Linked DNA regions of Drosophila melanogaster. The protein of the gene in region 1 interacts with the protein of each later gene in a pairwise test. Each region holds a gene or a part of one and is shown in the gene's direction. Other genes may lie near its edges.

Region 1 (4,474 bases):
AATTCCAGAATAAATAAAATTGTTATAGGAATATTAAATTAATTAAATGCAGGGTATTTTTATTTGGTATAACTATTGTAATGGAACGTTATGTAATATACGGTGAATTTAATCTTAGTTTATAGACCATTATAAATGGTGATATATAAAAATGAAATTTAAAGATAAAAGACAGCCCACACCTATCACCATTTAAAATATCAAAACGATGTAAGAATGTTATCGATAGGCGAGAAGCAACAGAGTGGGAATATGCCGCACAGGGTGTTTCGTGTGAATGATTTCGCCTCTTGTTTCTTATCTTTAACCTTCATTTCTGGCTCCGTTTGGCTATGAATTAGGAGCAGTCCCGAATAATCAGTCGAGCATACGTAGTTAACGATGGCGCCGAATGCAGCAGTACCAGTGGAGCGATATGAGCCTGAGAACATCGGGATCAACGCCATTCTCCTGGGGCCGCCGGGTTCCGGCAAAGGAACGCAGGTGGGTCAAAATTACATAATGATGTGTTTTTTGTGACACGGACGCCATGTAGTCTATAAATAAATACAACGTGTTCAAGTGCGCGGTTTTTGTTTGCAAATAATCGGTGAAGCTCGTTAATTCTCTTGGAAGAGAATTAAAACTGGTGAAGTTATATAAGACGATGTGTACATGGAAATGTATATGTATGTATCTACGTGCCAAGTATGTACATATGCGTCAAGCAGTGTCTTTCTCTTGACCCTGAATCAAATCAAAGCCTTGGCGAGATGTGGCGAATTAAGTGGAACACCTTTAGGCAATCGATTGGGTATTATGCAGACCATCTATTAAAAGGCTACCAGAACATTCCTGGCCTCAAGAAATGCATCTTATCTAGCCGATTGGTTACCTTGCTTACCTTCCGATATGGTGCTAAATTGATTAATTGATTAGCTCTAACTGAAACTTATCAATGTTTTTAATTATGCCCATTTCAGGCTCCCCTGCTGAAGGAGAAGTTCTGCGTGTGCCACCTGTCGACCGGCGACATGCTGCGGGCGGAGATTTCATCCGGTTCGAAGCTGGGAGCCGAGTTGAAGAAGGTCATGGATGCCGGCAAACTGGTCTCCGACGACCTGGTCGTGGACATGATCGACTCCAACCTGGACAAGCCCGAGTGCAAGAATGGATTCCTCCTGGACGGATTCCCCAGGACTGTCGTTCAAGCTGAGAAGGTAGCCACACGTGTGAAGCACTTTGGACTTTAGGTTATAATCCGTTCGAAACGCACTTTGCAGCTCGACACATTGCTGGACAAGAGGAAAACCAACTTGGATGCTGTCATCGAGTTTGCCATCGACGACAGTCTGTTGGTGAGGCGCATCACTGGCCGCTTGATCCACCAGGCCAGCGGGCGTTCGTATCACGAAGAGTTTGCCCCTCCAAAGAAGCCAATGACGGACGATGTAAGTATCTCTATAGGACGCTATCCAAGAACTCTAAATGAAAGCAGACCTTGTGTACTTGCAGGTCACTGGAGAGCCCCTAATCCGTCGCAGCGATGACAACGCCGAGGCTCTGAAGAAGCGACTGGAAGCATATCACAAGCAGACAAAGCCGCTGGTCGACTACTACGGCCTGAGGGGTCTGCACTTCAAGGTGGACGCCGCCAAGAAGTCCAGCGACGTCTTCTCCACCATCGACTCTATATTCCAACGCAAGCGTCCTGCCCAGATCCAGTTATGATTTGTTCCTGCGCAATGATCAACTACTGATAACTGCCTCCTGACAATTTATTTCGAGACACACACAACGTTTAAGCCTAAAGTTATAGTTGCATCCGGAAATCCTGAACAAACGAAATTACCTTTGCAGGTCGACTACTTTCCTTGTACAGATTTCTAAAGTGTATGTGTTTGTTACTTTTTACATTTCACTATTTGTAACTACAATACAATTTAATAAAAAAATCGAAGGAAACAAGTACATTTTACGAGACATGACTGCTTTAAACTGGGCTGCGTTCGAATGAGGGATGGACGACGCCAAGTTCAAACTTCCACACAATTGTTTTCCGGAAAGCTTCTGGAATATGATGCGGCTGACTCAGTTTCGAATCGAGGTTTTTAGCGTTTGATGGATAGCTACTAATTGTTCCGAGAACTATTTATTATTGCAATCAACTTTAAAGCGACTATTAAAGGGTCATGTTGCACGGGTCTCAAGTGTAACAAATGAGAAATTGCTAATGGAAATCGCTAATGAGATCGTTAAATCTGGTAAACAAATAACATATCGCCAAGTTAGCCCGTCCATCGTGGCTGCGAATCTCTCGCAGAGCGACTTTCGATCGCCGTTTAGTACTCAGACGTCACCTGCCTAATGTTAATGTCAATTTAAGTGTGTATAACTATCGCACATATATTATATAAATTTATAACGACGATTGACTAATCACTGGGTTGACTTTTCAGCAATAGCGATTTTCGCTTCAAAGTCTAAAGTGTGTGCAATCCCGTATGGATACGAGCCGAGCTCGAACACAGGCTCACAGCGCGCGGTTTGTGTTGTGTATTACACTTGAAGTTCAATCCCAGGTAAAAAGTGGGCCCAGGTATAAAAGCCCACTTCATAGAAACATTTCTCAGTTAGTTCCAGCAGCTGAATTGCTTCACATCTATTCGCTCCGAGTCGCCCCACAAGTCGAGCCCCATTGTAAGACCACCGCACCGTTTATAGTTTTTGGAGCCGATCGGCTCGGCTGGTCGACTGGTGGCTGGTAGTAGTCCACACACTCATGGACGCAGCCAGACGGGCAACCAGTTTCATTGTGTATAAACAGTGACATCTTTTCAGACAGCGAATGTGTTTCAGATACGCATACAAAGTGGCCTGCCTGGCTGTGCATTAATTTGCATACAAATCCCATAAGTCCACAGATACATTTTGCGAATGCAGTCGCGCTCGATGGCTAGTAAAAATATTTTTCCATTGCCCAGTAAAATCCCCTGCGCACAAAACTGGTTGCCCGACCAACAGACCCACTAAGCCACAAAAGTGCTGATTAATCGTACAAACATACTTACCCCAATTCGCCCGCAGAAAACTCCAAGATGAAGATGATACTTGCGCTTGTCGTCCTTGGACTGGTGCTGGTCGCCGCCGAGGATAAGTACACCACCAAGTACGACAACATCGACGTCGACGAGATCCTGAAGTCGGACCGCCTCTTCGGAAACTACTTCAAGTGCCTGGTGGACAACGGAAAGTGCACCCCGGAGGGCCGGGAGCTCAAGAAGTCCCTGCCGGACGCCCTGAAGACGGAGTGCAGCAAGTGCAGCGAGAAGCAGCGCCAGAACACCGACAAGGTCATTCGCTACATCATCGAAAACAAGCCCGAGGAGTGGAAGCAGCTGCAGGCCAAGTACGATCCCGATGAGATCTACATCAAGCGCTACCGCGCCACCGCCGAGGCCTCGGGAATCAAGGTGTAAGGCGGATCCCGGTTCCGGAAACTCTTGGTTATATGCACTGTTAATTAGGTCTACGCTTATATCTGATCATCAAAATTATTTCTACGATCGTGCTCGGAATAAAGAGATTTGTTTTTTTACCATACACCTGCCGAGTATTATATCGTTATCGAAGGGGGATTTGCCAGGCTTCAGAGAGTATATAAATTAACTATGACAAATGTAGCACTTAAGTCTAGCCTCCTGCTACTAGAACGATGATTAATCTAAGCACAATTAAGGTCTTAGAAAAAACATTCACAAGATTACGACTAGACCCTAATAAGCGGCTTATATATGGCGGGCGATTTGCATTAACATTGACAATAAAGGCAGCTACGGTTAGTTGGCAAAAACATCGCGTGCTTGTCTTGGTTCTGAGCTATTACTTATATTATTCTTAAAAGGGGCAATGAATCGAATCCGATGGCCGCAAGTAACTCAGCCGTGAAAACCTTCCTTCAAAGAACAAACAAACAATGTACAGCGAATTATTAATGTCACGGCAATTCACATTGCGAATCAAAAGATATTAAATATTAAATCAGTATTTTAATTACTTATAAATGTACAAAGCTTAGTATAAGGTTGTGGGCAGCGTTTACGTTAATGTTTCACCCTGGGCGACGCACGCCTCCAGATAGTCTATGCGCCGCTCCAGGATCGTTAGTTTTTCGTTCAGCACCGCCAGACGGGAGCGACAGGACATATCTGAAAGGATATGATAGCACACGATGATACAGTTTATAATGCCAACAGTGTACATAAACCCTATTAAGGATATGGGATATTTTAGCAACCCAACTACCTCGCACTCTTTGGCTTATCATTTATCACAGTATTTAGCGTATCTTAAATTATGCATAGAGCAACCGAAAAAGCTTATCCAATTCATTTAGGTGACTAATTCGGATAGAGATAAAGCCGAATTTTCGTTTTGAGCCCTCCGATGATGTTACATACATACATTTCCATATGTATGTAGATACATATATTGC
Region 2 (4,564 bases), on another chromosome or scaffold:
GATCGTTGGCTGATGGGCCCATTCAGTTGCCAATCCATCGCCATGGCTGATCCACGCATTACTCTCGGCCTCGGCCTGCTAATCTTTGGCCTGATCCTCTCCGCGGAAGCCTCGCCACAAGGTCGCATTCTTGGCGGCGAGGACGTTGCCCAGGGCGAGTACCCCTGGTCCGCATCCGTGAGATACAACAAGGCCCACGTCTGCTCCGGCGCCATCATCTCAACAAACCACATCCTGACCGCCGCCCACTGTGTGTCCAGCGTGGGCATCACCCCGTGAGTTCTAACTACACTTTATGATTATATACACTTGGATTCCCTAAGCACTTCACTTTGAGAACTTTAAGAATATATATTCATCTACCAGTTCTAATCCCTATTTGTTCTAAATCCCCAGAGTGGATGCCAGCACCTTGGCTGTTCGCCTGGGCACCATTAACCAGTACGCCGGCGGCAGCATTGTGAATGTAAAGAGCGTGATCATCCATCCATCGTACGGAAACTTCCTGCACGACATCGCCATACTGGAGCTGGACGAGACCCTGGTCTTTAGCGATCGCATCCAAGACATCGCACTGCCCCCCACAACTGATGAGGAGACGGAAGATGTGGACGCTGAGCTGCCCAACGGAACTCCGGTCTATGTGGCTGGATGGGGTGAACTTTCGGATGGTACTGCATCCTATAAACAGCAGAAGGCCAACTACAATACGCTGAGCCGATCCCTGTGCGAATGGGAAGCCGGATACGGCTACGAATCCGTCGTCTGCCTCTCGAGAGCCGAGGGCGAGGGCATCTGTCGTGGGGATGCCGGTGCGGCTGTCATCGATGACGACAAGGTGCTTCGCGGTTTGACCAGCTTCAACTTCGGACCCTGCGGCAGCAAGTATCCGGATGTGGCCACCCGTGTCTCCTACTACCTAACCTGGATCGAGGCCAATACCCAGTAAAACTTTTGGTTCGCCATCCAAGGACTACCCTTTATTTTTTTATACATTTTTTTCATGTGCATAAAGTGTGTTACTCCCTCTACAAAAAAAAACGTTTTGTGTTTTTAACTTTATATGGATGCAAACTATATGGAATTTAGTGCTGGTCATAAAGCTACAATCGATAGAATAACATTTAATTGGCGCCGTTCAAAGGTTCTTTAATTACTAAGAAATTACCTTGAAACCTGTTTCTAATTTATGGGATGCCGTCAAGGATTATCTAACAAAATTGCCAAGTAAATGGTCACAACAATTGGCTATTATTGTTTATGGAGTCATATATATTAGAGAGTATGGCTATTTAACAGAACATTTAGATAGAGATCGAAGGAAATCGCCGTAATCAACCTGGGAACCAAACTTTTGTGCAGCTAGCTTGATCAATCGCCAATGACTGGGCTAAATCTTTATAATCCAGATTTGTTATCGCCAAGCTAAAGGGTAATTCCTACTAAATACGTTGATAATTTGCTTACATTCAAGGCAATTTTATAGAGTTTAATTAACACCAAAATGTTTAGACATTTTATTGAAAGAGCAACTCAAAAAATCCAAAGTTTTCCACGACTGATTTTAGATTATTCTGAGACCTGAAGCACCCTAATTTCCGTAGCTCCCCTGAGTCATGTGTTACTCATCATTATCTCCTATAGATGGTTGTAGTTGTACTGTCACTGGACACTGGTCGTTTGGTTTATTTGGACTTCCCTTCAACCGACTTGTGCAATTTTCTATTTATGTGCCAATTAATCGGTGAACTAACAAGTAACAATAGTCTATAGCGGCATAAAGCCATTGCCATAAGGCGATAAGATTAGATTTTCTCTGATGCCCAAGCCGAAGATAAGGATTGGTCAAGGAAGTGGTGGAGAACTTCGGGTAGAAGGTGGAGGAGGTGGTAGTTATATGGAGCTAGTCTCTTATATTCTCGTCGCTGGCATTGCGCATTTTCATTCCAACTGCCGTGGGTAGCAGAACCACCAAATAAAAAACCAAAAAAAAAATACAGGAACAAAATGATGCAGCCGAGACTAGTGATTTTGGGTCTGATCGGATTGACGGCGGTGGGCATGTGCCACGCCCAGGGACGCATCATGGGAGGGGAGGACGCGGACGCCACAGCCACGACCTTCACCGCCTCCTTGCGGGTGGACAATGCCCATGTGTGCGGCGGTAGCATTCTCTCCCAGACCAAAATCCTGACCACCGCCCACTGTGTGCATCGCGATGGAAAGCTGTGAGTACCAAAGTCAATCTACTAATTAATTAATTTTTACTACTAATTAATTGATTCATATTATTAATATTAAGTGCTCTTAAATAGTGGAAGTAGCAAATATGTAGTTTGGTTTGTACAACTAGGCGAATGAGTGATATTTGAAGATGGCCTATGCCTCGAATAACCATGTATTCCCTTTTTGTTTAAACCATTATATACAATACATTCAATACAAAAGTCTTGATAAAGTAATCTAGATTATTCTCACGAAATCCCCAACAGAATCGATGCCAGTCGCCTGGCGTGCCGCGTGGGCAGTACCAACCAGTATGCTGGTGGCAAGATTGTCAACGTGGAATCGGTTGCAGTGCATCCGGACTACTATAATCTGAACAACAACCTGGCCGTGATCACGCTGAGCTCTGAGCTGACCTACACCGATCGGATCACTGCCATCCCGCTGGTCGCCAGCGGAGAGGCACTGCCCGCCGAGGGATCGGAGGTGATCGTGGCCGGCTGGGGACGCACCAGCGACGGCACCAACTCCTACAAGATCCGTCAGATATCGCTAAAGGTGGCCCCGGAGGCGACCTGCCTGGATGCGTACAGCGATCACGACGAGCAGAGCTTCTGCCTCGCCCACGAGCTGAAGGAGGGCACCTGCCACGGAGACGGAGGCGGTGGTGCCATCTATGGCAACACGTTGATCGGGCTGACCAACTTTGTGGTGGGCGCCTGTGGCTCCCGCTATCCGGATGTCTTTGTCCGACTCTCCAGCTACGCGGATTGGATCCAGGAGCAGATCGCCTAGATCCGTTTCATCCCGTTTTTCCTTCACAAGCTAACAAAATAGAAACTATTTTCCCAAACTCAAAGCGGGCAAAATGACTCAATAGTTTGATTTTGATAAGGATAAGGATCGGTGATTGCCACTGGACTTGTGGTTAACGTAATAATCGCTAACTAAGCATGCTTATTTATTGTATTTATGACCTCAATGGCATGGCTTTTATAGCCCAGAACTCGAGTCATCGATAAAGCATTCCGGTTTTAGGGTCAATTTAGGCAAGCTTTACGTAATTTGGGCCTACAATTAGTTATATAAGGAAACTTGAAGACTTTTCAAAATCCAAAACCAAACCTTTTTTTTAAATGCCTTCTTTTGCTGTTCGAAACTGAAGAGATCTGCACTTTAAGATCTAATAATTATAATAAATGTGCAATAATTATGCAATAGGAAACTTTCGGCAAATTTCGTTTAAACATTTTCGTGCTTCCTTAACCCTTTTCGTCCAACTTTGACCTCCAAACTCTTACCACCGTGCGTTGCACACCCCTTGTAATTAGAGGGGCTTCATTTGCGAACGAAATGGGGTAACTAAACTAAATTAGGCAGCAGCTCGATAGCGACATTGACTTTGACATTTTAAGGAACTAATGATGATGAGCGTCTTAGATTTGGGTAGTATATATGCATACATATACATATATATATATATACATCCAGTGAAACTTGCAGTGAGCACTGCTTTTCAGTTAGCTAAGCCCAACCAGTCATGTTACCATTCTGGACATCTCTACTCGTCCTTTGCGCAGCCGGAGTCCTGGCACAAAACGATTCCGTAGTGGAGCCCCGCATTGTGGGCGGCACCAAGGCGAGGGAGGGTCAGTTTCCTCACCAGATCTCACTACGTCGACGTGGAAGCCACACTTGTGGTGGCTCCATAATCTCCAAGGACTACGTTGTCACCGCCGCCCATTGCGTTAAGCAAGGCAACAATGTGTAGGTATTGAATCTTCGGGATTTCGCGTTTCTCAATCAGAGTGCTTGCCCTTAGAGCTCCAGCTAATGAGCTGGAGATTCAGGCGGGCAGCCTGCTCCTTTCCAGCGGAGGAGTTCGCGTTCCAGTGGCCACCGTCACCGTGCATCCCAATTACAACTCCAATGGCCACGATGTCGCCGTGCTGCGACTTCGCAACTCGCTGACCTTTAACTCCAACATAGCCGCCATCAAGCTGGCCACCGAAGATCCGCCCAACGATGCCACCGTGGACATCTCCGGCTGGGGCGCCATCTCCCAGCGCGGACCGATCTCCAACTCCCTGCTCTACGTGCAGGTGAAGGCCCTATCCCGGGAATCTTGCCAGAAGACGTACTTACGCCAGCTGCCGGAAACCACGATGTGCCTGCTGCATCCCAAGGATAAGGGTGCCTGCTACGGGGATTCCGGTGGTCCGGCCACCTACCAGGGCAAACTGGTCGGCTTGGCCAGTTTCGTCATCGGTGGCTGCGGACGAGCTGCGCCCGATGGCTACGAAAGGGTCTCCAAACTGAGGAATTGGATCGCCGAGAA

What was found.
Region 2: the proteins of EbpIII (region 1) and sphe interact in a two-hybrid assay, tested with the Drosophila melanogaster proteins (one large-scale study listed by BioGRID).

Annotation. Positions count from the first base shown.
Region 1 is NT_033778.4:24,023,938-24,028,411, forward strand, and holds EbpIII (ejaculatory bulb protein III), read left to right. Parts: upstream 1-2,234; 5' UTR 2,235-2,364; intron 2,365-2,438; 5' UTR 2,439-2,561; intron 2,562-2,608; exon of another isoform or gene 2,609-2,679; intron 2,680-2,745; exon of another isoform or gene 2,746-3,066; 5' UTR 3,067-3,077; coding exon 3,078-3,458; 3' UTR 3,459-3,581; downstream 3,582-4,474. Other genes in the region: Xxylt (xyloside xylosyltransferase), read left to right, coding at 1-13; Ak2 (adenylate kinase 2), read left to right, coding at 382-483, 963-1,199, 1,263-1,430, 1,495-1,710; HSPC300 (haematopoietic stem/progenitor cell protein 300), read right to left, coding at 4,078-4,187. UniProt on the Drosophila melanogaster protein: Protein component of the posterior mating plug.
Region 2 is NC_004354.4:16,699,341-16,703,904, reverse strand, and holds sphe (spheroide), read left to right. Parts: upstream 1-1,932; 5' UTR 1,933-2,007; coding exon 2,008-2,228; intron 2,229-2,492; coding exon 2,493-3,021; 3' UTR 3,022-3,459; downstream 3,460-4,564. Other genes in the region: CG9673 (uncharacterized protein), read left to right, coding at 43-275, 397-949; CG9676 (uncharacterized protein), read left to right, coding at 3,767-3,993, 4,049-4,564.